Linked DNA regions of Arabidopsis thaliana. The protein of the gene in region 1 purifies or fractionates together with the protein of each later gene. This does not show direct contact. Each region holds a gene or a part of one and is shown on either strand. Other genes may lie near its edges.

Evidence for each region.
Region 2: the proteins of AT3G44740 (region 1) and MTHFR2 fractionate together in Arabidopsis thaliana (co-fractionation; one large-scale study listed by BioGRID). This does not show direct contact.
Region 3: the proteins of AT3G44740 (region 1) and AT5G57655 fractionate together in Arabidopsis thaliana (co-fractionation; one large-scale study listed by BioGRID). This does not show direct contact.
Region 4: the proteins of AT3G44740 (region 1) and ALATS fractionate together in Arabidopsis thaliana (co-fractionation; one large-scale study listed by BioGRID). This does not show direct contact.

What each region holds. Positions count from the first base shown.
Region 1 is NC_003074.8:16,294,427-16,301,066, reverse strand, and holds AT3G44740 (Class II aaRS and biotin synthetases superfamily protein), read left to right. Parts: upstream 1-3,096; 5' UTR 3,097-3,379; coding exon 3,380-3,505; exon of another isoform or gene 3,506-3,633; coding exon of another isoform or gene 3,634-3,669; intron 3,670-3,749; coding exon 3,750-3,893; intron 3,894-4,014; coding exon 4,015-4,209; intron 4,210-4,312; coding exon 4,313-4,537; intron 4,538-4,612; coding exon 4,613-4,657; 3' UTR 4,658-4,667; exon of another isoform or gene 4,668-4,736; 3' UTR 4,737-5,194; downstream 5,195-6,640. Other genes in the region: AT3G44753 (uncharacterized protein), read left to right, coding at 948-1,041; HDA3 (histone deacetylase 3), read right to left, coding at 1,482-1,545, 1,641-1,719, 1,808-1,961, 2,088-2,182, 2,253-2,288, 2,395-2,620, 2,705-2,775, 3,010-3,022.
Region 2 is NC_003071.7:18,259,098-18,267,020, forward strand, and holds MTHFR2 (methylenetetrahydrofolate reductase 2), read left to right. Parts: upstream 1-3,091; 5' UTR 3,092-3,203; coding exon 3,204-3,666; intron 3,667-3,751; coding exon 3,752-3,834; intron 3,835-3,913; coding exon 3,914-4,087; intron 4,088-4,394; coding exon 4,395-4,568; intron 4,569-4,647; coding exon 4,648-4,748; intron 4,749-4,845; coding exon 4,846-4,957; intron 4,958-5,122; coding exon 5,123-5,203; intron 5,204-5,300; coding exon 5,301-5,478; intron 5,479-5,571; coding exon 5,572-5,906; intron 5,907-6,004; coding exon 6,005-6,088; 3' UTR 6,089-6,249; downstream 6,250-7,923. Other genes in the region: histone-lysine N-methyltransferase ASHH3, read left to right, coding at 84-201, 326-425, 503-581, 675-846, 943-1,023, 1,106-1,253, 1,387-1,426, 1,517-1,607 and 2 more.
Region 3 is NC_003076.8:23,343,774-23,351,496, reverse strand, and holds AT5G57655 (xylose isomerase family protein), read right to left. Parts: upstream 4,823-7,723; 5' UTR 4,468-4,822; coding exon 4,408-4,467; intron 4,304-4,407; coding exon 4,199-4,303; intron 4,091-4,198; coding exon 4,016-4,090; intron 3,905-4,015; coding exon 3,775-3,904; intron 3,691-3,774; coding exon 3,599-3,690; intron 3,382-3,598; coding exon 3,328-3,381; intron 3,125-3,327; coding exon 2,839-3,124; coding exon of another isoform or gene 2,777-2,838; exon of another isoform or gene 2,762-2,776; coding exon 2,528-2,761; intron 2,443-2,527; coding exon 2,372-2,442; intron 2,275-2,371; coding exon 2,234-2,274; intron 2,145-2,233; coding exon 2,045-2,144; intron 1,967-2,044; coding exon 1,817-1,966; intron 1,728-1,816; coding exon 1,692-1,727; 3' UTR 1,432-1,691; downstream 1-1,431. Other genes in the region: AT5G57650 (eukaryotic translation initiation factor-like protein), read left to right, coding at 5,212-5,234, 5,577-5,700; AT5G57640 (GCK domain-containing protein), read right to left, coding at 6,051-6,731.
Region 4 is NC_003070.9:18,591,374-18,601,279, forward strand, and holds the start of ALATS (Alanyl-tRNA synthetase), read right to left. Parts: upstream 7,107-9,906; 5' UTR 6,939-7,106; coding exon 6,644-6,938; intron 6,379-6,643; coding exon 6,140-6,378; intron 5,835-6,139; coding exon 5,694-5,834; intron 5,342-5,693; coding exon 5,195-5,341; intron 4,988-5,194; coding exon 4,835-4,987; intron 4,445-4,834; coding exon 4,315-4,444; intron 4,064-4,314; coding exon 3,967-4,063; intron 3,809-3,966; coding exon 3,688-3,808; intron 3,373-3,687; coding exon 3,313-3,372; intron 3,215-3,312; coding exon 3,164-3,214; intron 3,095-3,163; coding exon 2,999-3,094; intron 2,874-2,998; coding exon 2,772-2,873; intron 2,626-2,771; coding exon 2,503-2,625; intron 2,131-2,502; coding exon 1,987-2,130; intron 1,900-1,986; coding exon 1,828-1,899; intron 1,738-1,827; coding exon 1,662-1,737; intron 1,581-1,661; coding exon 1,438-1,580; intron 1,354-1,437; coding exon 1,245-1,353; intron 1,158-1,244; coding exon 970-1,157; intron 871-969; and 8 more.

The DNA.
Region 1 (6,640 bases):
CTTCTACTTTTGAATACCTGAGCAACTGATTCAGTGGAATCTATTTGACAATCACTCTCCTTAGTGCAGGGTATAAAGTGAAAAAGATACCTTTTACTTGTTTAGTATTGTTACGAACATTTAGATGTGAGAATATGATTTTATTGGTTGTTTTATGGACTATTATGTGGACCATGGTTTATGCTTTGAAGCTATGGCTTGAATTTTGTTAGTTGCGCATGATCTGTACTTACTTAAATCTGTGTATTGTATGGTCTAATATGCTGACTTGAATATGTGCTTGTGTGGTTTATGGTGGTTTATGCTTTGAAGTTATGACTTCTTCGGTTGTTTGTTGTGTAGTATTTGCTTGCTTTGTTACATGGGTTTTTTCTTACCTTAATCTCTGTGTTGAGTAGTTTAGTGCTAACTTGAATACCTTGTTTGTTTGTGTGGTTTATGTATTAATTAAAAAAATATGATATTACTAACTTTGAAATTTATGATGAACTCGAAAAGAGATGGTTATTGATTGTCCTTGGAAGATTATCTTACTTGATTTGTAATGATCGCTTAGTAGTGGTTTGATATGAGATATTTCTTTTGTTATGAGTGTCTGAGAAGTGAGAAAAAATCTTTAGTGCTCAATTACAATTTTCGTTGATCAACAATATTTCTACAGATTACTATAAATTACAATTGTTCATGGATTTACATTTTAACAGGTACTATTTCATTTTTAAATGATCATGCTTTATTTTGCCCAATTCCAGTCTTTCAAGTTTGATTGCTCTGATAATTTCCTAATAGAAATCAGTAGTTTCTGGTTTTGTGTTGTGTTTCTTCGTGTGTGAAGCTAATTTTGTAACCGTGGCTGATACTAGTTCTCTGGTTTCTTGAAAGATTTCAATTTCTTTGTTAGTAATTGTTTCCAGAGAAATTGTTTATTATGAAATACTTGTTGGCAGGTTTTTAACCTTTGGGGTTAAAAAAACTGGTGAAAGACTCCTGTCAATGTTTCCTCCAAAACATGAGCCTTGTGAAAATGATTGGCAAAGATAGTTGTTAAAAGTTGAAAGCCGATAAAGAACCACGCTATAAGCTTGAGTCTAGTAATGCAATCATACAATCATACACTTAGCATTAAGAGCAGTGAAGAAACTAGAACCGTAATAATGAAAACAGAGGATATTTGTTCTTCAAATTAGTTGCTGGCTTAAAGGATTGATCATTTTTAATGTTGTGAAACCTTCATTTATTCTTCTAATAAACTCTGCTATTGGCCAACAGATTTGTGGAAACAGAAAATGGTGAAAACGTGAATCTAAAATTAACACATTTGAGCCAAGATAGAATGTTGAAATATAGTGGTAATAAGACTCCAACTGGCTCTCTTTCATTAAGACTCTTGTTATCAAAAGAAAATATAAGAAAATCCGAAGGTTTCATAAAGACTACAGGCAAAATTCCATAGAAATCACAAGCTCTAATAAGAAACCACTTCACTTGGCAGCAGCGTGCTTGGCCTTGTTGTGAGACTCAAGTGCATTCCCTGAGTTGAAAGTCCTGCCAAAGAGATATAAGCCAACAAGCGAAATGTTATAACAAACAGAAATTTTGAGCAGTGAAGACAAGAGTTAGAGAAAGAGAGAGAGTCTCACTTCTTGCATGAACCACATGAGACTTGACTGGCCGACTTTGGGCTCTGGTTTGCAGCCTTTCCCCCTTTCTTCTTCTCATCTGTGCCAAAGAAGACGATGCAGGTTCAAATGAATACTCGTGTTTCCCAATTTAGTGAATAATGTAAGAGAATGGTTTGTATCTATACCTGTTTTCTGAGGAGTAACTGCTACTTTCGCCTTCTTTGCTGACACAGGTGCTTTAGGGGTAGTTTCATTAGCTCTCTTCTTGCTTGATGCAGGCTTCTTAGGTGTAGGCTCTTCTTCCTCAGAATCCTCACCATCAGAATCATCTTCATCCATCTGCAAGAATCATAACACAAGAATGCGTCACCAACATTTGTTCAAAAAAGATGTCTCATCTCCTCAGTCATTATTCTGAAATGGTAAACAAAAAGAGACAAATCACAGAAAGCTATAACAACTCACTCCGTCAGAATCAGACTCATCCTCTTCATCATCAACAGCTGGCTTCACTTCTGCAGGCTTAGCCTTTGGTTTAGCTACAGCCTTGGCAGCATTCCCTGCAAATGGAACTAGTTATTACCAATTATCAGGATCACAAATCAAGTAGTCTCTGTCTAGTTTAAGTACCAGCAGGAACTTCTTCCTCTTCTTCCTCTTCTTCCTCTGAATATATCAATACAACACATAAACGAATCATCAGCAACCAAGCCAATATTACAGTTACAAACAGAATAATTGAATTGAAACAGATTTTATCTTGCAAACTCACCAGAATAGCCTTGTGGCTCAATGTTGGGAGTTTTGTATCCAACAAAGTAAACACTTCCTTTTCCCCAAGTGTGAGAAAGCTCAAACTCCTTGTCGAATACCAAATCACAGAAAAGCTGAGGGATGTTCTCAGTCGATAGAGTTCCCAGAACCAAGTTCTGGTTCCCAACCTTTACATGTAAAGGCACAAACTCTCCCTTCTTGTTTTTACATTCTCCAAGCGATGCCTACACAGATAAACAATCCAAGATTGTTTACACTAGACCTCTAACAACTCTCAGAATCAAAATCAATAAGATTTGATACTAAACCTGAGAAACGTGGATAAGAATGCCTTCTTCAGGAGTCACTGTAACTGGCTTTCCTGATTTAACTTCAATTCCTGATTACATCGTTTTAACAAAAACCAACATGAGTATCAAGATACAGCTTCAAGTTATACACTACCACACTAATTCCTATATAATATAACCATTTCTATGTGAGAATATTGCAACTTAAAACCCTAGATGAAGCTACACAACTACACCACACAAGGAAGCAGCCACAAGAGAGTTCGAAAACAGATTTTAAGAAAAACCCAAAAAGCTTCAGACAAAACAGAGAAGATTCTTACCCCAGAACTCCATGGCTAAGAATCAAGGTTGAGAAAAAGAGAGGATTTTTAGGGTTTATGAGCAGCTGAAAATGTAAGAGAAGAAGAAAGGGTTTTAAGAGATTATTTATAAGACAGAGGGTTTTAATACGAAGCCGTTTTAGGGTTTTAATACGACGCCGTTAGGGTCTTTACTCTTTAGGGTTTTTCTTCAGTACTAACGACGTCGTTAAAGATATGAAAGTTTGTGAAAAAACAAAATGCTCCGATCAAATTCAAACGGCGGAAATCAGTATAGGCGAAATCTTCCTCCGTCGAAGCTCAGGGGAATGTCTTCAAGCTCTCAAGGCTTCACGATTGATGCAGCCATGGAGCTGCTGATTTCGACAAAATGTGGTTAATACTCTCGAGCGGCGTTTGTTCTATATCCCTTCTTTCAAAATCAACCGTGACGTCGCCGGACTATTTGATTAAGGATTGTGCTGTTAAATCCAATGTTCTTAGCTTCTGGCGTCAAGTAAGTACGGAACATCATTCACCTTTCTCTTTTGAGTAGAAATTGAGACAAATTTGACATGATTCATAGAGAAGAGTAGAGATTGTTTTAGGTTTGTTCTCAGATAGCATTTCATTCTTAAGGAGAATATGTATGAAGTGGATTGTCCATGTGTGACACCAGAGGTTGTTCTCAAGGCATCTGGACATGTAGACCAGTTCACTGATCTAATGGTTAAGAATGAGAAAACTGGAACTTGTTACAGTGCGGACGGACCACTTGCTTAAGGATTATTGCTCCAGACACGAAGAACACTCTAACAAGGCATTTTTGTGAAGGACTTGTATTACTACAATGGGAGGAAATTTCCCTTTGCTGCTGCTCAAATTGGTCAACCTTTAGAAATGAGGTGATTATCGTTTAATTTTCTATTCCTTTGCTTGATAGATTGGATGTGTTTATCTCAATCAGGGACTCTTTTTTCTTTCTTTTATGTCTGGCTTTTAATAAGTGACGCATATTACTTGCAGATATCTCATCGTCAAGGGCTTCTTAGAGTTTGTGAATTCACGCTGGCAGAAATTGAGCATTTTGTTGATCCTGGGAATAAGTCACATCCGAAATTCTCTGATGTAGCAAATTTTGAATTCCTTATGTTTCCAAGAGAGGAACAAATGTCTGGCCAATCTGCGAAAAAACTTTGCCTTGGCGAAGTTGTTGCCAAGGTCAGTATCTGTAATCATCTGCGTCTACTTACTTCTAGTATGCACTCCCTCAGACCTTTTGTTTCTTAATTGCTTATTGATGCCTGCAACTGTATTTGAATAGGGAACTGTGAACAAAGAAACTGTAGGCTACTTCATTGCGAGAGTGTATCTTTTCCTTGTCCGTCTTGGCACAGACAAGGAACAGTTGCGTTTCCGCCAGCATTTTGCAAATGAAATGGCCCGCTATGCTGCAGATTGTTTGGATGCTGAATTTGAGAGTTCATATGGGTGGATTGAATGTGTTGGTATAGCAGATAGGTCTGCATTCGACTTACGTGCCCACTCGGTAAGAAACTTACTTTTATCTTGTATTTTCTTCATTTCGTTTGACAGCTAGAGAATTGATGATCAAAACCCGTAGGTAGGAAAAGTTGCTCTGTGGCTGAGAGAAATTTCCAGAACCTAAAGAAGTAGAGGTAATCAAGTCAACATGTTCATCTCTGTCTCTATAGCTTGTTCTTAATATGGGTTCTCTGTTATTTCAGAAACTTGTGATTACTCCTGTGAAGAAAGAACTGGTTCTTGCATTCAAGGGAAATCAAAAGCATGTCGTTAAATCTTTAGATATAGAGTGACTGAAATCTATTGTTTTACTGACATATTTCTTTGTCTCATGATGTTGGTTTACATTAAACAACATGCTTCGTGTAATGTTTTGTTAGGCGATGAATGAGCAATAAGCTATGGAGATGAAAGCAATCTTGGAAACCAAAGGGGAAGTAGAGTTTTACGTATGTACCCTAAAGAGAAACGTGAGCATCAAGAAGAATATGGTGTCAATCTCTAAACACAAAAGAAACTGTAAAGTAATTCATGATTAGATTAAACTAGAGAAAAGGTTCAAAATCTGTTTTCTAGTATATGCCAAATTTGTTTTCAAACAAATTTCGCAAAAGTAATCTGTTTTCTAAAAAAGTATTCAACCATTCGAATGATCTCAAACCACCTCCAAATAAAACTCTCTCAGTTTTCTAGTATATGCCAAATTTGAGCTCCATCCAGCAATGAAAAATCTCTCATCACATCCCATATACACATACTTATGTCGATAACATCCCCAATTAATGCCCCCCTTTTTTTTTTCTCTAAAAGCAGTTTGGAACTTGAATGAATCGATAGACAACTATGTACACATAAAAGACACCTAAACACTACAAATGGCACACAATTAGAAAAAGAAAAAAAAAAACTAAAAAAACTCAAAACTGATCAAAACTCAAGGCATTAGTACGACTTTTGAGAAATTTTCTACCACGATTTCAAATAAAATACCAATTTTTTCTTATCTCCAATTAACACACATAAAATAAGCAAATATTTATTTTATATTTTTTATCTTCAGTTACGTTAATTATTATACACATAATTTTCGTTTAAATCATACATTATTTCACATGTGAATGACTGATACAATTAGATTTTGTATGTAGTATCAGTGTGAGCAAATTCTACTCAGCTGTTAGATTATTACACACATTGTGGTAAAGATTCCATAGAAGTAAGTGGTGTCTTGTCCTTGTCGTTGCTAAAGCGATTAAGCTTTGGGGTTAGGGTTGGTCTTGGTCTCCTCAAGGCGTACGTGAGTCTCCCAAAATATGTGATTTTATAATCATCATACGTATATATACATCAAATTATGATCCATCATTCTTGATCAAAATGGACAATTTTTATTTTTTTAATAATATAGGTCTATGCAGTCGTCATTCTATGTGACTTTTCAATTGTACACATATACGTGGTTGCAAAGTTAGCAATTCCCAAAAACTTGCATGTGAATAAGTCATTTTTTGTTTGTTGTGCACAAATCCATATACATTAATTATATCAATTATAAGTGTCTGAAACATTTTTGTGTGTGTTATATATAGATAACTTGAAACTCTAATATTTATATTCGTCTTACTGGTTTATAATGTTTGAAAGATAATGGAACAAAACAGCATCGTTATCACAATCATTTTCAAAATTCACTAGAAGATATTGGTGTTTTAAAAATCTAATACATGATTACAACTTATGCAGTGGTTATGGCCATGTTAAATCATCCTGTGCAGGTACATTTCTCGCCTGATATTAAAAAAATAGATTATATATAGAAGCTGAAGTCGTAACTCTACAATTTGTTTCAGTTTTGACTTTTGATAATGGTAATATTAATTATCAATTTTATTTAGCCAAAAGAAAATTATCATTGTTATTAAAACCAAAAGAAAATTTCATGTGTATTATTGTAGTCTAGTTTCCAAGTCATTTAAGAGTGCGCAATAACAAAAGAAACAACAAATATTAAAAATGCAATAACTCGAAATTAACAAAACAAAAACTAATAGTATCTATATAAAAATAACCAAGATAAGAATTATTAATAAAATGAAACGCTCGTGCT
Region 2 (7,923 bases), on another chromosome or scaffold:
TTTTTGCAATTGCAGTTTTGGTTTTGTTTCATTTTGCAGATTTAGCTTTGATCAAGATTTGTTTTGGCCTTGACTTGTTAAAGATATATACTTGACGAAGAAAGTCAAAAGGAGGGTTGAAGATGATGGAATCTTCTGTTCTTGCTCCTCCTCGTCTCCTGGTTCTTCTTCAACTGTCTGTGGGAGTAATTGCCATTGTGGGTATGCCTCTGTTTTTATTTCACTTTTCTTGATCTATCTATTTCAGCATTTCATTGATATAAGACCATAATTATCTGCTTGTTTAAGTACATTGAACTGGAAAAAACCTTATCTTTTGTGTTAGGATGCTATTCTCAAGCTGTTCCTCAAGTTGCAAGTGTGGGAGTGAGTGTAACAATAAGCCGTTCCAACAACGACATGTCAAGAAGATGAAGTTAATTCAGGTAATGTGTGATTGGTTTTGGTTGGATAGAGTGGATTTTTGTTGTTGTCGGTTTGTTATTTTAGTTGTGTCTTGTAGACAGAAAAATGCGGATCAGGGATTGTGGCAGAAGAAGAAATCGAAGCTGGAGAGTTTATCATTGAATATGTTGGAGAAGGTGATGTGACTATTTGATATTTTGTCTCCCTACTGAATATACTGCGACCATGGTCTAATTTGTTTTCTTTTTTCGTACCTTTGCTCAATGTAGTTATTGATGATAAGACTTGTGAAGAGAGGCTTTGGAAGATGAAACACCGTGGCGAGACAAACTTTTATTTATGTGAGATAACCAGAGATATGGTTATTGATGCTACTCATAAGGGAAACAAATCAAGATATATTAATCATAGCTGCAACCCTAATACGCAGATGCAGAAATGGTTTGTTGTTAACTGTCAACCCTTAGTGCTTGTTTCCTAGTTTAGAATACTTGAGAGAGAAAAGTCATCATTTGGTTTACTTTTGCTTGCAATTAGGATAATTGACGGCGAGACCAGAATCGGCATTTTCGCCACCCGTGGTATCAAAAAGGGAGAGCATTTGACCTATGATTATCAGTAAGTTTATATCCTCCTTCTCCAGTTTACTTTGTAACATATCTGTTTTTATGTTGAGTTGTGACACTAAGAAATAGAGCAGGTTTGTTCAGTTTGGTGCAGATCAAGACTGCCATTGTGGGGCTGTAGGTTGCAGAAGGAAGCTTGGTGTAAAACCTAGCAAACCTAAGATAGCCTCGGATGAAGCTTTTAATCTAGTGGCACATGAATTGGCCCAGACACTGCCCAAGGTATTTTCAAATTTTATCTGAAAAGAAGAATCAAATATATATCTCGTCTTTGCCCTGGCATAGTTTCACAGTCACTGAAAAATTTGTGTGATGAGGTCTAAGTGACTCTTTTTCTTTCCCCACTTTTGGTTAGGTGCATCAAAATGGACTTGTAAATAGACACATAGATGCAGGTAAGTTTGGATTTTTTCTGCTCAATTTGCGAGAGTAGCTTATTGTGTTTTGGTTGTAAGAAAGTAATTTGGATTCCCATGTTTCTCCAGGAAAATCATGGAACAATCTTAGTCAAAGGGATACATGTTCGCGTAATTGCATTGGTGTGGTGATCAGGTTATCTCGCCCCACGAGTGATAGGTATTTATTGAGTTTTGAACTCGTGGATTAGTTTTATGACTCATTCTATGCTTTTCTCATCCAATGTTTTATCTTTTGAGATTTTCAGGTGTTTTGGCCTCGTTAGACATTTTGATGAGTATTCAAGAAAGCACTCGGTATTACAATTAGCCAATACTTGTTCCTCACCATCGAACTTGGCAAAATCATTCTCAATTAAGACCTCTCTGTTAACATCTTTAAACTTGGTCCAGGTGATGTTCGAGGATGGTGTTACCGAGTTTGTCGACATGTCGAGAGAAGACTGGGAGATTGTCTAATATTGTTTTCAGGTGATTTATACTCTTCACTCTCTTAATGAAACATTAAAACTCCCAGAAGCATAGAGTATTAAATTACCCTGGCTGCTATGTTTCTGCAGATTGCTTTGAAGTTGAGAAACCAAAATAACCTGTCTTGGTAAACTAAAGGTATCCCAAAAAACCCGGGTCTGACTGACTGGGATTGGTGCAGTGACATTGTTTGTTGCGTCTAACTTGTGACCTGTGTTTGTACAACCATTATAAGAGATATCATATATCTACTTGTGTAACCACATCTGTACTTTCTTCTCCTTCCTTCTTTTTTCATGGGGATCTCAAATGATGATGTCTTGCAAGAACCTTCGTGGTGTGTAATTGACTTTGTAAGAACCGGTAATCTCATATCCGGTTTAGCTTTTAAAAATTTGTATCCAAAGACCGGTTTGTTCTTGTTTGCATGTGCTGTTCTTATTCGTGCATCTGTGTGAGTGTGACTGTGTCGGTGTCGCCGACAAAAGCCGGTGTTTGCAAAATCTGACCAGTTTTGTTTTAGCGATTAACGTTTCAAATTCCTTCAAATGCAAAATGAGTTAAACAAGTGAAAAATTACTAAAACAACATAACAGTTTTAAATTGGAAAAAGTTTTGTAAAGTTTAAAGATACACTGTAAGTGAAAAACGGAAAATTTTAATTAGATTTTTTTTTTTTTTTTTTTTTTTTGGTAAAAGTAGATTATTTTTGTTAAACAAAAGTGATGGATCATTGGTTTTTTGGTAGTAGGTGGGTGATGTGGGTGTGTGGTTCTGGTTCACCAACTCAAAAAGCATAGACTGCAGGGGTTGGGGATTGATAACGACAAATCTAATTGTGGTTGGTAAATCTTTTACTAATCACATTCCTTTAAAATAATTATGTAACTCATCTTGTTTACTAATATCAACTCGACTATCTTAATATCAAATAACTCGGATTCTTCATTTTTTTCACTTTAGAATGGTTTGGTAAATCTCTTGAATAATAAACACTTTAATAAAAATGTTTTTTTTTGTCAAGCATAAAAATGTAACTCATGTTGTCTAACTACATGGATTTTCGCACAAAACAATGATTAAATGTAAATTATGTAATTATACTTTATTTAAAGTATGATTTTGTCTTAAAAATGAAAATAATATAAGGAAGTGGACGGGTAAGGTAAAGTCTAAAATTCACCAAACATTTTGGAATCTCTCTGTTTACTATAAAGCAGTGAGTAGAAGAACCTGAAAGAACTCGCCTTTGTCTCTCATTCTTCTTCTCCATTTCGAAAAGAAGATGAAGGTGATAGATAAGATCCAGTCATTAGCCGACGAAGGCAAAACAGCGTTTTCCTTCGAATTCTTCCCACCAAAGACAGAAGATGGAGTCGACAATCTCTTTGAGAGAATGGATCGAATGGTTGCTTATGGTCCAACGTTTTGCGATATCACTTGGGGAGCTGGTGGATCTACCGCAGATCTAACGCTTGATATAGCTTCGAGGATGCAAAACGTTGTTTGTGTTGAGAGTATGATGCATCTTACGTGTACTAACATGCCTGTTGAGAAGATTGATCATGCTCTTGAGACTATTAGATCTAATGGGATTCAGAATGTGCTTGCTCTTAGAGGTGATCCTCCTCATGGTCAAGATAAGTTTGTTCAGGTTGAAGGTGGTTTTGATTGTGCTTTGGATCTTGTTAATCACATTCGTAGCAAGTATGGTGATTACTTTGGTATCACTGTCGCTGGTTATCCTGGTAATGTCTCGAATTCGAATTTGATTTCTTTGTTTCGTGTGATTTGTAGCTAAAGATTGGATTTTTATGTGTTTTGATATTTCAGAGGCGCATCCTGATGTTATTGGTGAGAATGGTCTTGCGTCTAATGAAGCTTATCAGAGTGATCTTGAGTATCTGAAGAAAAAGGTTTGTTTTGTTTGTTTTTGTTTTGCTTTGTTCTTAAATGTCTGCATCAATTTTTGAATTTGGGTTTGTCTTGGAACAGATTGATGCTGGAGCTGATCTGATTGTTACTCAGCTTTTCTATGATACTGATATATTCCTCAAGTTTGTGAATGATTGTCGGCAAATTGGGATTAGTTGTCCCATTGTTCCTGGAATTATGCCTATTAATAACTACAGAGGCTTTTTGCGTATGACTGGTTTCTGCAAGACTAAGGTAAGTTTTGATCGTTTAGTAAACACCAGTTCCTGCAAATGAATCACCTTTTAGGAGATGAATGATATTGCTTGTTGCCTTTCCATAAAGGTGTTTGTTTGCTAGCTTAGGATATGTTTTTAAAAAAGTGTATTTAAGGTTTCGTGATCAGCTAGATGAAATTGAGATACTTGATTATATTATTGTTTTCAGAGAAAGTGTTTGTTGGATAGCTATTCAAAGAGAATTCTTTATATTAATGTAGATACCAGCTGTGCTTTTTGTGAAAAAAAGATAGATGAATTTACATATGATTATATTAATGTAGATACCAGTTGAGGTGATGGCTGCCTTGGAGCCTATCAAGGATAACGAAGAAGCTGTGAAAGCCTATGGTATTCACCTTGGAACAGAGATGTGTAAAAAGATGTTGGCTCATGGAGTCAAGTCTCTTCATCTCTACACATTGAACATGGAGAAATCTGCTCTTGCAATATTGATGGTTGGTCCTCACTTTTTCTACTTGATGTAAAGCATGATACTGATAGTGGAGTAGCTTTACTATTTTGTTGTTGTTTCAGAATCTTGGTATGATTGATGAGTCCAAAATTTCTCGTTCTTTACCCTGGAGACGCCCTGCAAATGTTTTCCGTACTAAGGAAGATGTGCGCCCCATTTTCTGGTAACAGAGCTTAGTTTCTCTCGTTCTGATTATACTTAGCCACATATTTTACTCTGCAGGGAAAATAAGACTTGTTCTTTCTTCTAATCTTTTGAAGGGCAAACCGTCCAAAGAGCTACATTTCTAGAACCAAGGGCTGGGAAGATTTCCCACAAGGCCGGTGGGGTGATTCACGCAGTGCTTCATATGGTGCACTCTCGGATCATCAGGTACTACAATACATCATCTGTAATTGCACAACTCTCTTTCAAGATTTCATAACAAAGGGGTTTTGAAGGGTATTTCTTCGATTGGTCTTTTTGATTTGCTCTAGATTGTTAAATGTAACATCTTCTTGTGAGCTTGTTTGCTGAACTAAATGCTTTTGTTGTCAGTTCTCACGTCCGCGAGCACGTGACAAGAAGCTTCAACAAGAATGGGTTGTCCCACTGAAAAGTGTTGAAGATATTCAGGAGGTAGAACAATTTTTTCACTACCACACATTTCCCTCACTTTCACCTGTAAAGATGCAGACGCTTACAATAATCTTGCAAAAAAACTGTCACATAACAGAAATTCAAGGAGCTCTGCCTTGGAAACCTTAAAAGCAGTCCCTGGTCTGAATTAGATGGACTCCAGCCAGAGACAAGGATAATAAACGAGCAACTGATAAAAGTCAACTCCAAAGGCTTCTTGACCATCAATAGCCAACCATCAGTCAACGCCGAGAGATCTGATTCCCCAACTGTTGGTGAGGAATCAGTCCTGTTATATCTCTGTTCTCATAGCAAACAGAGTTTTGATTCGTGATTGATCGATACTTGTGCTTGTGTATGATTTGCAGGATGGGGAGGTCCTGTTGGATATGTATACCAAAAGGCTTATCTAGAGTTCTTCTGCTCAAAGGAGAAATTAGATGCAGTGGTGGAGAAATGCAAAGCTTTGCCATCGATTACTTACATGGCTGTGAACAAAGGAGAACAGTGGGTATCGAACACTGCCCAAGCTGATGTGAATGCTGTAACTTGGGGAGTTTTCCCGGCTAAGGAAATCATTCAACCAACCATTGTCGATCCCGCTAGCTTCAACGTCTGGAAGGATGAAGCATTTGAGACTTGGTCAAGAAGCTGGGCTAACTTGTACCCAGAAGCCGACCCTTCCAGAAACTTGCTCGAGGAGGTAAGTTCTATATTTTTCTTGATCTGATCATATTTGTTATTGTTTTTGACAATGGTTTATTTAAAATGACTAATGGACATTTTGATCCAAAAATGCAGGTGAAGAACAGCTACTATTTGGTAAGCTTGGTGGAGAACGATTACATCAATGGTGACATATTCGCGGTGTTTGCTGATCTTTGAGAAAATCAAGAGACAACTACAGTATATCGGTTTCCTACTGCTTTCAAGATTTGCTTTTGTACTTTCTCTAAAATATTGGGATTTTGTTTTTTACATCTGTCTACCATAACAGTATTGATGTGCAAGTAATGTTATTGATAAAAAGGCATCAGTTTCACTACCTTAAAGATCCAAAACCAAACAATTCTTCGGCAAATTTTGTTTGTGTTGATAGTTCAGAGGAAAACTACAAAAAGACACGCAAAAAGATAAAAAGGCTTTAAACTTTTGTTTATAATACTTGCAAATGATATCCAGGAAGAGGAATCTTAGGCTACACATTGGTTTAATGATCATAGTTTGTTCACATTGGGGAGCGGGAACAGTGGTTTTAACAAAACTAAAGAATAAGCCCAAGTTCTGATGGCTTCAATGCATTTCTCAAACGGTAATTGTAGAGATAGTAGTGCGACTGTCGACATAGTGGATAAAACCTCAACTCTTTCAAGAAACTCTCATTCTGCATCACATCCGAGGCATAAAACACATCGAAACCTTTTTGCTTAGAGACTATTAGGGCATCATTCACCAGCTGGGATAACGAGGTCAGTGTCGCTACATTGCAGCAAGCATAAGCACATTCCAGGGTCGTGTATTTCCGGTTACCGGGGATAGTTATAGAGGAATTGCAGAAGCTGCAGAAGTCAGTGACATCATGAGTTTCAGGGCTTACTACTACGTAACTGTAGACAATATTTTCCCTTGGGAGAAGCCAGTGCTTGACATCGTTGTCATCAAAGTCAGTCGCAACTGCAAACTGGCTAAGGTAGTTCCTGAGCAACGCTGTAACAGCAGGGACATCACGTCGCTCCATTTCCCTAAATCCAGGAGTGATCGGTGCATCTGGTAACTTGTAGAGTTTGACGGTCCTGCTCATTGTCATTCTGTCACGAAGCCTTGTTAACCCAACATCGATTAGCTTCTTCGGGTTCAACATTCTGACCCAGTCTCGACTGGTGGTAACTGGTCTAGAAAGTATATGACTTGAGGTATAAGCCGCTTGCCATATATTCTGCAACTTAACCCTTCTAGTCAACTCCTTGATCATGAGAGGAGCAAGTCCCTTAGACCTGAGCTTCTTGTGAACACACAAGGAATTGACCTTCGCCATTTTAACAACCTCATCACGCACCCTGATTCTTGTTGGCCTGCCACAGATGAAAGCAATGAGTTTCTTGGAGGTCTTGACGCGGACTCCAATATGCCAGCTCTGGTAATAACCAGGTGGACACAGTGCCCACCTTAGATACTCTTTGGAGTACTCATACTTGATCTGTTGTCATCAGGACTGTTTTCCTTGAGAAAGTTGTACATCTCTAAACACATATCGTCAGAGTTCATATCGCATATGGTCCATTCGAATTGACCAAGAAGGTTGTACGGCTCTTGCTTGACCTCAGACACCAAAGTTGCGGGCTCAATTGGGCCTTCAGGCAAACTCGTGTCCTGGATATCTTTAAACTGCTCAACAGGTTGAGTCTCCCAGAACTTATGGGTCTTTGAATACTGGCACTGCAGTAACCTTCCAACTATGGTTCCACCTGAAGTATCATCCTTGGCTAATTGAATTTGTGAGCTCTTGGCAACAGTAACTAGTGCATCCTCCACTGGCTTCAGTTTTGGATCTGACATTGTTGATCGTCTGCACAAAAAAATTGATTGCTCAATCATGAATACACAGCAAGCAACAGCCATGAAACAAAACTGAAAACGAATAAGAAAGCCGAGCTAGCTTACAGTATGAAGCATTATCAAGATTTTTAACCCTAGACATAGCGATCCCAAAATTTCTAGCA
Region 3 (7,723 bases), on another chromosome or scaffold:
TTATAGTGTCTTTATTTAATCATAATGTAGGCTCGAAAAATATGATTTATAATGTAGAACAAAATAAGAGTACTCAGTATGTAATGTAAACATTTAAGAAATTACCAGAGGTCGATAATTCGGAAACATATTCTAAATTTTCTTAAAAATCTACAAGATCAAATGGCAGATGGGGAAGATATATAAAAATATTAAAAGGTTAACATGGATCTAGAAAAATGTATTGAGAAATTTTAAAAAAGAGAAAAAACAAACAGCCGAGAGCTTTGCCGTTAATTAAACGTATGAAAATTTTGGTCACATGACAAAAAATGAAAAGATTATCAAGTTGTATGCTGTTAGGTGAGAGTACTATGTGAACGTTGCTGAAAAAGACAATTTGTAATAACCATCTTCATTATTCTTTTCGTAACAATCTATGATTTTTGATGAAATGTCTACGAAAACTTTGAAATCAAAGTTTATAATAAATAATTTTATGAAACAAACCACATTTTAGTGAATGTATAGCCCTGTGTTTCATATTATTATTGAAAACATTTATCAATAATTAACGCATTTCTTTATCAAAAAAAAAAAAAATTAACGCATTAACATTTTTGAAAACAATTATAAACGAAATGCTACTTATTTTATGAAATTAGCTGTTAAACGTTTTCTAATTAGTATATATGTAAATATCAACCCAGCTCAAAATTTTCTGCTTTGAAACCGTTAATCAACTGTTATGCTAGTCTGAAACACAGTCACATAAATGAAAACAGAGTAAGAATCATAGGATATATATTAATGTTATTAATAAGTTCCTCATTATTTATCATAAATTCATAATGTGAGCTTTCACGAGACTTTCTACTTTCGGCCACAATTCGACAAAAGAAAAGACTTACTACTTTTTGCCGACCTTTTTTCGAATAAAATATATAAAAATTAATTCATTCAACAACAAATAAAGAAATTTTCTAGAACCATCGACGGATAGTAATTAGGTTCAACATCATAGAAGACTCAATTATTGTAATACATCACGGTCGTCGCAAATACGAAATTAACAAAGTCATCACAACTATTTCATAGATACATCAAGTAGATAGGCTATGTTTCCCTAGTTTTCAAACCTTTCTTATCAAATACTATCAAAGATTTTGTCGAGAAATTTGTCAAATTAGGACTTTGAGTTTCCTTTAAATCTCAACAGAAAATTCTGAAATCATAACTAACGAAACGAAATGAATTGGATAAAGTTTTTATTGATGTTAGACCATTTTTAAGAATCAACGTTTTCAAACTCAAAACTCAAAGCTTAATGTGAAAATCATATATTGCTTTTCAAATTTTCATAAGGTAAGAAGAATTTTGATTGTATATATGTATATCGCTGTTTTAAACTTTCTCGTATAAAACCTCCTACAAACTTTACTATAGTCGAGTGAAGAAATAGATCGGAATTGCTCATTGGTCTTTGTCACAAAAACCGTAACTGAATCAAAGTAAAGGCCTAAACAGTTTTTTGTTATTCAATTTAAAGTAATTAGAGTGTGAAACCATAGTACATCAACTGAAATAATGAAACCAACCTCTCTAATCATCTTATTTTCCAATGTTTTGGTTTTCAAACTTCTCAAAGATGCGAGGGAAACTAAAAAAGACGATACTTTTAATAAACATAAAAAGCCTTCTTGTTCTTCTTCTTACATTGCAGATTGGAAAATCATCTCAGCGAGTTCCTGCAGATTTCGTTTCAAAAGACATCGATCATTGTGTGTTTTTCGTGTTTAACGAAACAAAACCAGAATTAATAGCAAGAAACTTGTACCTGTTTAGCAGAAGAAACCTTTGGTTCTCCAAACTCTTTAGCTTTCTTCTCAAGATACTCAAAATCAGCTTTTCCTTCTTCTATTTGCTTCCCAAGCTCAGAGTCCCAAGTTGCATATCGCTTGCGTACCAATTCACTTAGACTTCCCTCCTTTACCACACCGAAACCAAGTTAAAGCTACACTCTTTGGTTCTTTTATAAAACTTATCTATTCATATCTTAACTAACCTCCAAGATTTTGACTGCATTTCTCAGTCCACGAGCCATTGTATCCATTCCACTAATATGAGCAATGAATAAGTCTTCCACGTCTGTACTCTCTCTTCGCCTGTTTAATCAACCAAACATTATAAGCTTCTTTCTCGGTTTAATTTTGTATGAAACAGTAAAACATTGTGAATCAAGAATCGCTCTTACAGTTTAGCGTCAAAGTTGAAGCCGCCTGGAGCAATCCCACCCTGTTTCATATGTGAAAAACAGAAGCTCTTATGAGCTTACATTCAAAAATTTACAATGAAATTCCCAAAAATAGCGAGTTTCTTTAATATTACATACATTTTTGATGACACTCATCATAACCATGGTTGCTTCTCCAACATCTGTAAGAAACTGATCTGTATCCCATCCTGTTAAGAGAATGAGAGAACTTTGTTCAATCAGAATCTGGTTAGGAGGTGTTAACAATCAAGAGAGCTGAAATTGAAAAATTACCAGTTTGAGCATCGCCAGTGTTTGCATCAATGTTGCCAAGTAAACCATTAATTCTTGCAGTTTCAAGCTCGTGATGACAAGTGTGACCAGAGAGCGTGGCATGGTTACACTCAATGTTGAGCTTAAACTCATCAATAAGACCATATTTCCTCAAGAAATTGGCAGCTGTTGCAGCATCCCAGTCATACTGGTGCTTGGTGGGTTCTTGAGGCTTGGGCTCGATTAAAAGCGTGCCTGATAAAAAGAAGATTATTGTGCAATAACTCCCATAAGACTGAATACAGGACAAGAAAAAGAAGCAGTAGACTTACCTTTGAATCCAATCTTCTTCTTGTAAGCAACAGCAGCTTCAAAGAACCTGGCTAGATGATCAAGCTCTCTTCCCATATCAGTGTTCAAGAGTGTCTGATAACCTTCACGACCACCCCAAAAAACGTAGTTTTCACCACCTAAGTAATGTGTTACCTCCATGGCTTTCTTCACCTGAGCAGCAGCGTAAGCATACACTCCAACTTCAGAGCTGGTCGCTCCTCCGTGCATATAACGAGGATGCAAGAAAAGCTGAGCTGTTCCCCACAATGGTTTGATTTTGCTCCCCTGCATTTGAAGAAAACGAAGAACCTTTTTTTCTTAGCACATCAAACTAAGGAATGGTAACAAGATAGTACTGTTTCAGTGATAAAAAGATTCAATTATAAAATGGCATACATGAGTCTGTATTGGAGAATTGATTAACTACAAGAAGTATCTTCCAAAATCCAATGTGTAATAAGAACTGGAAAATTAACAAACTGAATCACCTTTTGGAGTTCTTTGGCGAGTTCGATAACTTCATCCAAGTTTTTGTTAGATTCCTGCAGATTAAGTATAAACAGGTTACAGGCGCTTTCTTTATGACTGAAACAAGTTAACATTGGGCCAACAAGAGCAAAACAAAGTTATCAAGTACCACAAGAAACAGCAAGCTGCAAAGGAAATATCAGGACCAAAATGGTTTATAACACCAGGCAATAAAGCAGATTGTAGTTTCAATGTAAAGCAAAATGGTGTAAGTTCAGAAGCTCGAGTTACCTCAAGTGTAGTGCCATCAGGTGCTATGTCTCTGTCATGAAAACACCACCAATCAACTCCAAGTTTCTTCAAGAACTCAAAGTTAGCTCTCACTGCATTAAACAACAATCAGTAACTCAAATCACAGTAACTCGATAACGAAGAGAAACTAACATAAAAACACAATCTGGACTTACTTCTTCTCTTAGCCATAGACACAGAGTTAGTACCATCTTCCCAAGGCCAATACTTAGTAGCAGCACCAAATGGATCACCTCCAGTCCCACGGAAAGTATGCCAAAACGCAACACTGAATCTAAACCAATCCTGTTCAAAAAATTCAGGACAACAAACAAACATCCCACACGTTTCTTCAAATCCATAAAAACATAACTCAAAAATTGTTGCAAGAAAATACAAACAAGAAAATAAAAGTACCTTCATTTTCTTCCCAAGAATCTCTTCTTCAGCGTTATACCACCTGTAAGCAAGTGGGTTCTTACTCGAAGGTCCCTGAAAAAATTCATCAACAACCAATTCATCTACACATGCAAACAACAAATCCACTAAAGTTTCCAACTTAAACCAACAGTTTTAAAGAGAAACATCACCATTGTTTACCTCATACTTAATCTTGGGGATTTCAGGGAAGAAATCACCTTGCCAGTCATCAGAATCACTACACTTGCCTCCCAAATCAGCAGGACATGTTGGTGGATCAGCAGACTTTACACACCAATCAAGATCAAATTTAAAAACTTTAATCTCGGATTATATTTCAATGATTGGAAGAACATTAAAAATTCGAGCTTTTGATTATTAAGTCTTACCACTAGAGATGACGCTGCGATGAAGCAGAGAAGGAGCATAAAAAACTCAACTTTCTTCATAGTTTTCAACGAACCTTGAACGATGGATGAAGCCCAAAACAAAGTTCTTGTAATAAAATCGAAAACGCAAGAGAGAAATTGAAAAAAAAAAAAAACTAAGCTTTGGAAGATTTGGATAAAAATCGCAAAGATAATATATATACAAACAGAGATTTTTTTAGATTTAAGTAAGTGATGATGATGATGATGATTAAGAATTAGTCACAGATAATGATGTGACGTAAGCAAAGTTTTGTTTGTTTTTGTGTGATTTTCAGTTTTGCCCCTTGACATAAATGAAATCGACGGTCGTGATTTTATAGGTGAGTTAAAGCAGTCGTACGTTTACTCTTTATCCGGAAACAACGTCGCGAATATCACGTTTCTGACTCAGCAAAATTATCCTTTTCTATTTTTAGGATCAATAATATTATGGATAGGTATTAAATCGAATTTTGTTGAGTTTTTTTTCATTACTTCCCAACAATAACATAATTTCGAATAACTACAAAGGGAAGAAAAAAATTCTAATATTGTCTGAAAATTATCTCACCCGTGAAAATGAAAAATTACATGTCAGTGTCCGTGACAGAACCGAGCACATTAAATGAAAATATTGCATGCTGATTAAAAAATGTTATGTTTAATCGGGCTAAAAATTTAACAAAAAGTCTCCTTATATTGGGACTTTAATATTTGGGCTAATTGAAGCATTTTTCCTCAGTAAGACTCTCTCTCCCCAGGCATTCAATTTGTTTGGTTTGGATGATATCGAAACTTACGATTTGGTGAGTTTCTGTTTGGATTGGCGAGCAATGCATGTTTTAGTTTTCCTTAGTGTTAGATCCTTCAATATTATTGCTGGCTTTTAGGGATATAAACTGATATGTCAAGGCAGATACATAAGTGAACGAGAGGGAAGTTTATGATAGTGTTAGGTCAGTAGTAACTTAAGCTAAAAAAGATCTGCTTCCTTGAGTTAATTGATCTTTTTTGATTAGCTAAATAGATCTGCTTCTTGAAGCACTTCAACTGTAATAATTTTATACTTGTGTGGTTTTTTAAAAGTATTATATTGATTTTAGCAGGACCTGATTGTGCTGATGATACTACTGCTCTCTGTTTCTTAGGTTTGATCGTGACTGGAAGAAGATTGAAGATTTTGTTGAAGATCATCTTGCAGTGATTACCACTGATCACTTCATGGACCGTATGGCTGCTATTCATGTTGAAGCGTATTGCGGAAGATCCTGAAGACCACTGCTGATGACTTTTATGTGCCAAAGGAATGTGCTTCTTTCTTTTACTTCTATCTCTTGTTTCAAAAGTTGAGCATAAGTACTACTCAAGTCTCACTTAAGATTCTATCATTGGATAAAAACTCTTGCACAAAGTCTTATCTTAAAAAAAATCAAAATGTATATTAAAATGGTCTTAGTTTTTTGTAGAAGAAGGTGATTACGACAGTATTTTATAGATGCATCCAAATTACATAACCAATGGTGTATATAAGAAGACACACCTAAACAAAATTAAGAGTAACGAAATTTGAATTTTCATTCAGATCAATGTAAGTCTCAATATGCTCATAAAAAAAGCTTTACCTAATTCTGATTCTGATGATCACTCTCATTACCCTCGGATCCCTCTGCTTCCTTCTCCTTCTTCTTTCCAGCTTCCAACTCGCGAAACGCCTTCCCGATCGCTGCAGCTTCAGCAGGCAGAATTGGCTCAGCATTCTCTTCTTGCAACCCGCTAAACGCCCTCGCAATGACTGCAGGCTCACCAGCCATAATAGCTTCCTTTTCCGCGTTCAACAACTCGCTCAACATCTTGGCCATCGCTCTAGCCTCACCAGCAAGAAGGGGCTCATAGTAAACAGGGTTATCATACATGCAAGTCTTAAAGATGAGTCTTGCCTCCTTACATTTACTTACGTGATCTTCATTGTTCTTCTTTGCTTCGTCGCAACAATTCTCCAATTCTGTGAATGCTTCTTTACACTCACCTCCCTTTATGAACTGGCATAAAGGGCACTCTCCACTCTCTTCCTCTGTTTCATCCAAATCTTCATCTAGGGTTTTAGATTCTTCCTCATCTCCTTGATCTTCAATTAGGGTTTTGGATTCCTTCACATCTACTTGATCTTCACTTAGGGTTTTTGATTCCTCCACATCTCTCTGATCTTCAATTAGGGTTCTAGGTGATTCGTCGTCCCCATCTCCCTGATTTGTCGAAGGATCTTCCTCTGTTTTAGCTTCAGCCACAGAGTTTATACTTCCCATAGATGACGGATTTAAGGTTTTTGCTACACAAGGTTCTTGCTCACTCTAAAAACCTCAATTGCTGAGTCTTCTTTTCTTATAAAAAGGGGGACACAACTTGGGAAAATTTGCCATTACTTGTTTTTTCTTCAAAAATGAATCCGAGAATTATTCCAAGAATGGTATTGTTTGATATTGATTCCCCATTTTCCATATTCACTGTATTCGATGAGGATTTGTTTCCCTTTTTAGTTTTTTTTTTAGTTGTTGCAGAGGCAATTTTGACTCTCTTTTTTTCCAAAGACAATTAAATATTTAAATCATTTAAAGGGATCCTATCATTTAAAGTTAAACCCTTCTATAGGCTGGAGGAGGATATGGAAAATGAGAAATGATCTTTTATTTAATAATAGGAAGTGGGCAATACCGGAGGTAATAAGTAAAGCCATGCTTTGACTGTAAATTGTGGTTCGAAGCTGTGAATATGGATGGATTAGACGTAAAGCATAAACAGGAAGCAACAAAGAAAGTGCAAAGTCTGAAAGAAAATGGAATAGCTCAAATTAATTCTTAAGCAAGCTAATTCGTATTGTTGCTTCGTTGATGGTTCATGGCTATCTCCAAACCAACCTGCAGGTATTGGATGGGCACTTCGTGATAAGGACCGATATATTGTAACTAGCCCAACTCAAATAAAAGGACCGATATATTGGGCCGATAAATTAGAGTCCAGTGATAACTTTTTGTTTTGGTATAAACAAGTGAATAATAATAATAATATCTCCTAGTTAGACCAATCGAAAAAACAAATGAAAAAGCTTTTGTAATCTATGAAGTTTGTTTTGGATTATAAAAAAAAAAAAATCTATGAAGTTTGTTTTCGAGTGGAGAAATAAAATATATTAAAAAATATCTTAAACGGTGAGATATTTTATCTTGAAAAATAAATATCTTGAGAATATGTACTTTCAGAAATCAGTAAAGCCAATGTAATCCACTTGTGGACAAATTTG
Region 4 (9,906 bases), on another chromosome or scaffold:
GCAAATTAAGTAGAGGTTATTCTGACCTCACAGATTATGTAACCTCCCGACCAAATCAGTTGAGCTTCATTGATGCAAATGATGAAGCCATATCCAAAGCCGCCTGCACTTGAGAAGCATCCGTTCCCTAAAACCAAAACAACATGTTGAAGATTTAACATCTCTTTGTAGATGATACTATCACATTGTAGACTAAAGAGAATAGGACTCATACCTGCCCTGATGCAAGACCACCTTTCCCTTTCCCGCACCTTCCTTTTAGAGGACCCAATGCAGTTGTCAACCATTCAGTGACGTCTAACGGCTTAAACTGGTCTGATTTTTCTGGCACTCCTGCACACACAACCGCCTTGTTTGTGCTTTCATCTGTGCTGAACACCATTATCGACATACCCTGCAAGGTTAATCAAACGGAAACGTTAATTTAACTTTCTTGCTATCTATGAACAGGTTATGGTACAAGTGATGATGTAAGAAAATACGGATTACCTTCTTTTCCATGACTTTTGAAACGGCCTCTCGCACAGCTGCTGCATCAAGACCCACATCCAGCTGGATTATGCAGAAAGTCTTCCCATCTGATGCTGCGGACTCAGCTGCCTCTGTTGCTAATTTGACAGATTTTTTCAGGTTTTGTTCCGCTATTTTCTTCTGAGCTTTTCTTACTTCATTCTGCGAAGTTAGGAAAACAATAATTGCCACTTCAGAATTGCTTTGATTACAAAATTACAGGGAAATCTAGACAAAGCTGCTGACTGTAAGGCTGAAAGAGCTTATAACCTGAAGCGAAGCAATCTTAGTCCTAATATCTGCCTTTTTAGCTGCTGGGATAATTGCTGCATCTACTCGGCTTTTCAAAGCAGAAACTTTCTGTGAATGTGCAAATACAAACACAATAAGTTTTACGTGAATCCAAGTAACGACATCGTCTTCATTTTGTCAATAGTTTGACAAAGAGAGGGAGAAAACCTTTTCCAATGCACTTCCCTCCGCTCTGGAGGCATCCTCTACTTCTCTTTCAAGTAAGGACGCCGCATTCAATGCATCAAAAGCACATTCAGTAGTCACAGCAGTTACCCTACGAATACCTTTAGCAATTCCCTCCTCCGATAGAAGAGCAAATGCTTTGGCTTCGCGGGTGTTTGTTATGTGGGTTCCTGGAATTGTCAAAATAACCCTATACTCAACATTCTATTCAGAACGTAATATCTTGGTCCCAATAGCTAATGCCAATGGAAACAGACCTCCACAAAACTCGGAAGAAAGCAATGACCATTCATTGTTTTCAGGATCAGCCAAGAGATCCTCAACCTTCCTCCCAATTGACACCACTCTGACGGGATCGGGGTAGACCTAAAAAGAGTAAGAGAGAACGCTTTAACAATTCTTAGAAACCAAACTAAAAAGGTATAGCTACAGAACTGATGGACAGCTTACTTCTCCAAACACTGCTCTTAGACCTTTGATGCGCTTGGCTTCAGAAAGCACAGCTTCCTTGGAAAACACATCTAATTCATCCTTGATCTGTTTATTCACTATGGATTCGATCCTTCTCAAATCTTCAGGATCAACCGGCTTGCCTACTCGAAATTATGGAACCCATCAGACAATTAAGATGACCATCCACATCAAAATAAAAATGACTTTATTCAAAAATGTACCATGAGAAAAATCAAATCGCAGTTTTTCAGGAAGAACAATTGATCCCTTCTGATCAATATGATCCCCGAGCACTTCCTGAATTCATGGGACATGAATATTTTCAGATCCAATAGAAAAAATTAGAAAATCACAGTTTAGGTTACTTAAATTATAGAAAAGGGATACCTTCAGGGCATAATTCAACATATGTGTGCAAGTATGATTAGGAGCGATGAGTTTACGCCTCTCATAGTCAACCTATACGCATGAAAACGAAGGTGGAAACAAATTGGATAGTACCAAATATGGTGAATGAGACAAACACTGTTTGATGCAGAGAGTTACCTTGCAAATCACTTTATCACCCACAGATACCTCTCCAGTTTCTTTAGAGAGATAACCAATGTGAAGAACAAAGCCCCCAAATATTTGTACATTGCATACATTGAATGTCCCAAACGAGCCTTCTATAAGTCCAGTGTCAAAAATCTATTGCCAGAGAAAAAATGTTAGAGGCACAGAGTTTATATACATATAGATGATTGGAAGTGAATCAAAAGCTTAACCTTGTTCATGGATATGAAATCTAAAAATATTTATGTGACTGTCAACGACAACTTCAGAAATTAGTATGCAAAACCAACAATAACTATATCATGGTATTTGCCAGCCGATACATAAATTCAAACAATGCAGTTCTGATATGATTGTGTTCATGGTGTTACTGCCATGTCTACATTTGTATATATATACAAATCCAAGATGAACATACTGAAGACTGCAATTTCATGCCACCAGTCATATGATCAGAAATGAAAAACAATTAGCAAACTAAAATACATATCAAATAAAATGGATTACCTGACCACCCTGCTCAGCATAGAAGCTTGTAGACCCCAATACTAGTCCCACGTTATCACTAGCAGCTGAACTTTCTAGGAAAGTAGAGCCAGTATAGATTGCCTTTAGTTCACTCTCGTGGTCCTGCAGCGATATGTGGCAGAGTACCAATAAAGGTTTCTTTAAAGCAAAATCCATTTACTATTATATGCCCTAACTTCTTCATTTCTACGCCAACATAAGAACATTTCAGGTGCAACATGCAAGTTTTCTGGAATAAAAGGACAAACCTGGAACCAAATGTATTTAAAAGAATCATCTGTTGCTGAAACACCAGCCTTGTGCAATGTTGATGTAGCATCAGCATCCATAACAATGGCACCACCAGCTTGCTATAAAAAAATGACATTAAAAGATTGGTTAATAGATGATGTGATTGCAAACTTCGTTCATAGTCACACGTAAGTTTGGCATTAAACGCTCTTTAAGAAAGTAAACAAGAGGAAAGTTGAAACACCTTATTCTGGGCACTTCTCGATCTTTCCCTCGCCTCTTCCATGGCTTTGTTGAAACCATCAACATCAACCAGTAACCCTCTTTCTTCAGCCATCAACTGAACCCCGAGAATAAAAGTTAGAAAATAACACGAACATTCAGAAATAAGTATAAATGACTTACGTACCTGAGTTAAATCTAACGGGAAACCATATGTATCCCATAAGATAAAAGCATCCTGCAAAGAGAAGACAACATGTTGAGATAGAATTCAAACATCCCAGATGAAAATACTGCAACGCCTAACATACATCACAAAAATGATTCGATACGTACATCTCCACTCAGTGTATTCCCCTGAACCGCCTGTCCAGCTTTCCGAAATTTCTCAATTCCCTGCCGTGAAAATTTATAATCAGTCTAACTGTTCTTATACTCACCACCTATTCACATAAAAAAGGGAGGAACGACCAGGTAAAGCCAATTCATCTTTCAGAAAAAAGATTCCCTATAGAAAATACTATAATTATGTCTAACCATCATTAAAACTGAACAATGATGAAATTGGAAACAATCTATACAGAAATATCACATGCCACTGATTGAAGCTGTGAACTGTCTCTTTTACTTCAGTGCGACGAGCCAGAAGAACCCAAAACAAAATAAGATAAGAGGTTCAAAGCTTTGACGGAAATTAAATCCAGCCCTTACCTTTGCCAAGGTCTTGCAAAAGCTTGCTTCCTCTTCTTTAATTATATCTGTGATCTTTTTCTCATGTTCCTTCAACTCTGTAAAGACATCGCCCATCACCCGAATGACAGAACTTACAAGCCTACAGGTAATATGAAAGCCCGAGATAAAACATGTGTCAAAAAAATATGCTCATTTATAAAGATACAAGACAGAAATAAACGTTCCAGCTACAACGAAACAATATTTGAAACAATATTCAAACAAAACATGCAACGAAAATCAAACATAATTTCCTACCCGTTGAAAAATCCTTCTTCAGCTTTTAGGATCTCCTTTCCATAGCGAACCGCTCGACGAAGAATACGCCGCAGAACATACTCACGGCCCTCATTACCTGCAAGAGATAGTATATTAATTGGTACTTGTTAGACTACAAGAAATAACAAACCTCTATTTGTATAACATAACAGATTGTCTGAGGAAGAAAATTGACAAACTCATCATGCCCAACTTAGAATAAATGAACCAAAAACACTTTTTCTGAGAACATATAAGTATGAACTCAAATAAATGATTGAATACTAAGACGATTGTATTTTCTGTAACCACCACAATTGTGATTGAGACAAGAAACCAAGTATATACCAGGACGAGAGCCATCCGCAATTGCAAATGATAGGGTTCTAATATGATCAGCAACCACTCTATATGCCATGTCAACTCTGTCAACATCTTCCGGACCAACTTTTCCAGAATATGGCCTAGCTCCCGTTGCCTAAAAAAGTGAAAGCATCAACACCTAAACTTAAGATTCGCAACAACTAGGGTAAACAGAGCAATTTGAAGATTTTTTCAATCCTCTCACTAAGAAAAATACATGAAAAGTGACACAGCTAACAACGAATAATCTCCAGGATACCCATAGTAGAATGCCTTTATCATGAAATCCAAATTCAATAAACCAGAAATATTCAAAAACAATTGACGGAGTCTCGACGTAAAGCATAGAACCCATGATCCACTTCAAAATTGATGAACTAAAATGATGATAGTACTAATTAAGGTGACAAATGCGTCCCTAAGAGGAGGCCAAACAAAAATAACTCAATGAAACCATCATTAAACAGCTGTCATGAAACCATCAACAGAAGTTTTCACAAATTACCTTTTGGATGTCATCAAAGATAGGCATGAACACATCTGTATCATAGTTGCTCATTTTGTTTTGAAGAACAGAAGTCAACCTCTCGAAGCCCATCCCGGTATCAACATGCTTAGCAGGCAGAGGTTTTAGCGAGCCATCACTTTCTCGGTTGAACTATTTTGAAGACATAAGTAACATCCCAGTCAGAGGAAACAATTGGGAATATGATAGCACAGCTAAAGGAGCAATAACAATCTAGCTAACTGCACAATATAGAGTTTTCAGTAACACAATCTACAAAATCATTAAAACAATTGTGATATTGAGATAAAGATTAGTAAAATGGAACTAAATAACAATTGGGACAGAGAGGGTTTGTACCTGAATAAAGACAAGATTCCATATTTCTAAACATGTTGGATCGTCATTGTTAACTAAGGATGCAGCATCACGGTTACCAATGCGATCATAATGTATTTCAGTACAAGGTCCACACGGACCTGTGTCGCCCATTTCCCAGAAATTGTCCTGCAGTTTAATCAAAAGTTAAATGAAAGAAAAACAGCATTTAAAAACCCTTAAGTTTTACATTTTGTACAAGATTTTGACTGTAAATCATAAACAATGGTTTTTAAAGCCTGCCAACTACCAAACATGATAGCGTATTCCTAGCCAAAATGCATTCAAGCTTACAGTTGGTTGTCGTTAGCATTGACAAACAGATGTGTCAATATATACAAGAAACAATGGTGACAATACAAAGGCAACTTAGCTGAAGTACTTGTGAAGTAACCTCAGGAGAGAGGAAATCAATGAGTAGTGGATTCAAAAAAATTAGGTAACAGATTAAAAGTTATTATCTTAAATAATCAATACATACTTTGCAACCAAATGGCAGCACACGTCCAGATGGAAGAACCTTCAACCATATATCCCTAGCCTCATTATCAGGTTGAAGGCCAGCTTTCTCATCACCGCCAAAATATGTAGCGTAGATTCGATCAGTCGGTAGCCCATAGACCTGAGGCATGAAAACAGGGAGGTATCAACCTCAATGAAATAAACAACCTCAACGAAAAGAGAATAGTAACTTTACAAAATTATGAAATACTGTCACAAGGTATCTAACTGAAATGTACAACCAAATGAAAAGAGAAGAATCACTTTACAAAACTGAAATGTACAACCAAATGAAAAGAGAAGAATCACTTAACAAAATTGAGACATACCGTCCCAAGGGAGGGAGACAATAGTTTACTGAATAATACCATGTATATTTTTCTTAAATCAAGTAAACAGAGACAAATTTCCCAGGTATTTAATTACCTTGGTTAAGAGCTCCCAAGCCCATTCGATAGCTTCCTTCTTGAAATAATCTCCAAAGGACCAGTTACCAAGCATTTCAAAGAAGGTGTGATGGTACGTATCTTTGCCGACATCATCCAAATCATTATGCTTTCCACCAGCACGAATACACTTTTGGGTGTTACATGCCCGAGATAGCTTGCTAAGCTCAGTATTTGGATCGGCCGTACCCAAAAATATTGGCTTATACTGGTTCATTCCTTGAAAAACAGAGAAGTTTCAATGTCATTAATAATTCTATTTTTCGCCAGACATATCAAGAGAACTTAATTTACATAGCTCAGTATCAATATCAGAAAATTTCGACCAAAACTGAAATTGAGAAATTTGAATAAGTCCCAAAGCTTCAAAGACAAAAGAAGACAGAATAAGTCAACTCTATAGAATCTGAATTCCATAGATCAACTTGGACAAATTCCCAATCTTATCGGCAAAAACAGATATGAGGAATCGAAGTTATCGTACCAGCGTTAGCGAAGAGAAGAGTAGGATCATTATGAGGAACAACGGGGCTTGATGGCCAGAACTTGTGGCCTTTGCCTCTGAAGAAATCGACATAAGTATCCCGGACTCTCTTTGCTGGCCACTGAGTCTCCGATGGTTCGGAACCCGGCATGACTGCGACGGAGGAAGACGTCGACGAAGAGGAAGAAAAACGGAAGTGAGAGAAAAAAGGGCGGCGGAGATGGGAAGAGTAAAAAACCCTAGACGGAGGTTTGGTTGAAGAAATCAGAAGAGAAGCTGCCTTCACTAATCTCATTCAAACCAATAAAAGACCTTCTCTCTCTCCTCCTATCCTATTTTCTACCGTTAAAATTTATTTAATCCGATTCCTTTTCCGCAAGATATATTATTTTAAGGGATAATACTTAAAAAATAAAAAAAGTAAAATTTGGAAAATACATTTTGTTCATCAAAGGATAACATTAAAAAAAAAACGAGAGTAAATTTTGGTTCTCGTTTAGATAAACTGTTGGGTTTGCTGCCACTAGCCGTGAGACTGCCTCGCATGTTATTGTTTGTTTCGTTGTTGTTGTTGCTGTTGTCGTTGCCGCAAGTTTTGAATTTGTTTTGCTGCTACTGTTGCAAATTTTTGTATTCGTTTCTCAGATAATACTATAGTTTTACACGTAATTTTTTTTTTTCCAATCAACCAAATGTAATTCTAATATATTTTTGTTACTTGAATTTTTTTCATATTTGAGTTTTTCTCTTTTTATTATGTGGATTGATATGATCTATATATAAAAATTATTCTTATTCTTGTTAAATATTAATCTAAATACTATTTTTATAGTATAAAAAATGAATGATATTATTTTGATGTAAACTACCTAAAATTTTATAACAATAATGAGTTTTTACGCTATTGATCAAATTGGGTTGGATGGATTTCTGTTACATATTGGTTACAGTTATTAAAAGGGAAAAATGTTATTTAATACCTCAACTTTCAAATTATGACAGTTTTATACGTTAACTTTATATATGGTCATTTTAAACATGAAGTTATCGTTGATCACCATTTAAACCATGAATATTTTATTGACCAGGCCAAAAAAATTAGTCGTTAACGGATTATTCAACTCCCGTTAACACCTCCATTAACCATTCTAAACGACGTCGTTTTCGTTTTTCTTTAAAAAGAAATGACAGACCTGGGATTCGAACCCCTATCATTTGAGAAAAATCAAAGGTCATTTGACCACTCTACCTGCAAAGATTTCTCTGTCATTCTATACAAACACAGATACTTATATACGCTTAAAGTTCTTCTTCTTCATCTTTAACGAAACAAAACATTTCCATAGTAAAGCTTCCATTGAAGAACACCTCCGATTTTGAACACTTCGATTTCTCCATGGACTTCTACCATTTAATACAAGCCTCATCAAGCACCCCTATTCATTGAAGAACACCTCCAAACCTTTTTTTCCCGCCAAAAAAAAAAAAATCCCGCCAAAAATAAATTTCCCGCCAAAATTTTTTCTCGTAAATTTTGTTTCCCAGCAAAAAAAATGCTTTTAAAAATCCTTGTAAATTTTTTAAAAACTCTTTTAAAAAACCTTGTAAAGTTTTTTAAAATCTTTGGTAATTGCTAAAAACCCTTGTAAATCATTTTAAAACCTCTTAAAATCTTTATAAAGTCTTTAAAAACATAGGTAAATACTTTAAAACCCCTTTTTAAACCTTTGTAAATCATTTTAAAACTTTTTACAATAGTTTTACAAGATTTACAATCGTTTTTTAAGCATAAGTAAGTGGCATTGAATGATTTACAAGGGATTTTGAAAACTTATAAAAGGGTAAAACATGATTTACAATCGTTTTAAAGCATAAGTAAGTGGCATAAAATGATTTACAAGGGATTTAAAAAAGGTTAGCATGGTTTACAATCGTTTTTTAAGCATAAGTAAGTGGCATTGAATGATTTACAAGGGATTTTAAAAGCTTATAAAAGGGTAAAACATGATTTACAATCGTTTTTAAAGCATAAGTAAGTGGCATTGAATGATTTACAAGGGATTTTAAAAGCTTATAAAAGGGTAAAACATGATTTACAATCGTTTTTAAAGCATAAGTAAGTGGCATTGAATGATTTACAAGGGATTTTAAAAGCTTATAAAAAGGTAAAACATGATTTATCATCGTTTTTAAAGCATAAGTAAGTGGCATAAAATGATTTACAAGGATTTTTAAAAAGGGCTAGCATGGTTTACAATGTTTTTTTAAGCATAAGTAAGTGGCATTGGAATGATTTACAAGGGATTTTAAAAGCTTATAAAAGGGTAAAACATGATTTATAGTAACGAAAACGACATCGTTTAGAATGGTTAACGGAGGTGTTAACGGGAGTTGAATAATCCGTTAACGACTATTTTTTTTGGCCTGGTCAACGAAATATTCATGGTTTAAATGGTGGTCAACGATAACATCATGTTTAAAATGACCATATATAAAGTTGACGTATAAAACGGTTATAATTTGAAAATTAGGGTATTAAATAACATTTTTCTCGTTATTAAAAAGCAATATATCTCTGCAAATGGACACACCAAAAAGCCAAACACAATTTGATCAAATTACCATCATTACTCCAAATTATCATCGTTATTCAAAGTATTTCAAAGTTAAGACATAAGTTCGCAAGAAGACACTTCACATATCCAGCTACAGATGATAACTGGATGAACCTGTAAGAAATAAAAAGTTAAAAATGAAAGTCAGATACATCAACAAGAACCAGTACTAATTCGATTAGAGTCATTCACATCTAAAATCAATCTGAGTCCAGTTTTCAAAGAACACAGTTTCAATCACAGAGAGGCAGAAAAAACATACTTGATCAAGACCAAAAACTCCAAGAAATGTTGCAAGTTATGTCTTCAGTAGACAAAATAGATGCATATAATAAGAGACTAGCCATAGAGAATACTTGTGATATAAGAAGAAATCTGCAAAAAAAGAAGAAAAAATATTATTATTTTTACAGAAGGAAAAAAGATCTCGGATGAACTGATTCAGAAAAGTATTTGGACACAGAAAACTAGTAGTCGTTCATCAACGACGGAAGTAACTCCCTAGTTGCAGCAACTGCGTACCGCATATCCCTTAAGAGTTGTTTCTTTTCCAGCTGCTCATTTACAATGGTGACAAACTTGAGAACAAAAGAGAAGCTAACCTCAATATGCAGCATTGGTCGCTTTATATGCTGATCCCAGGGGTGT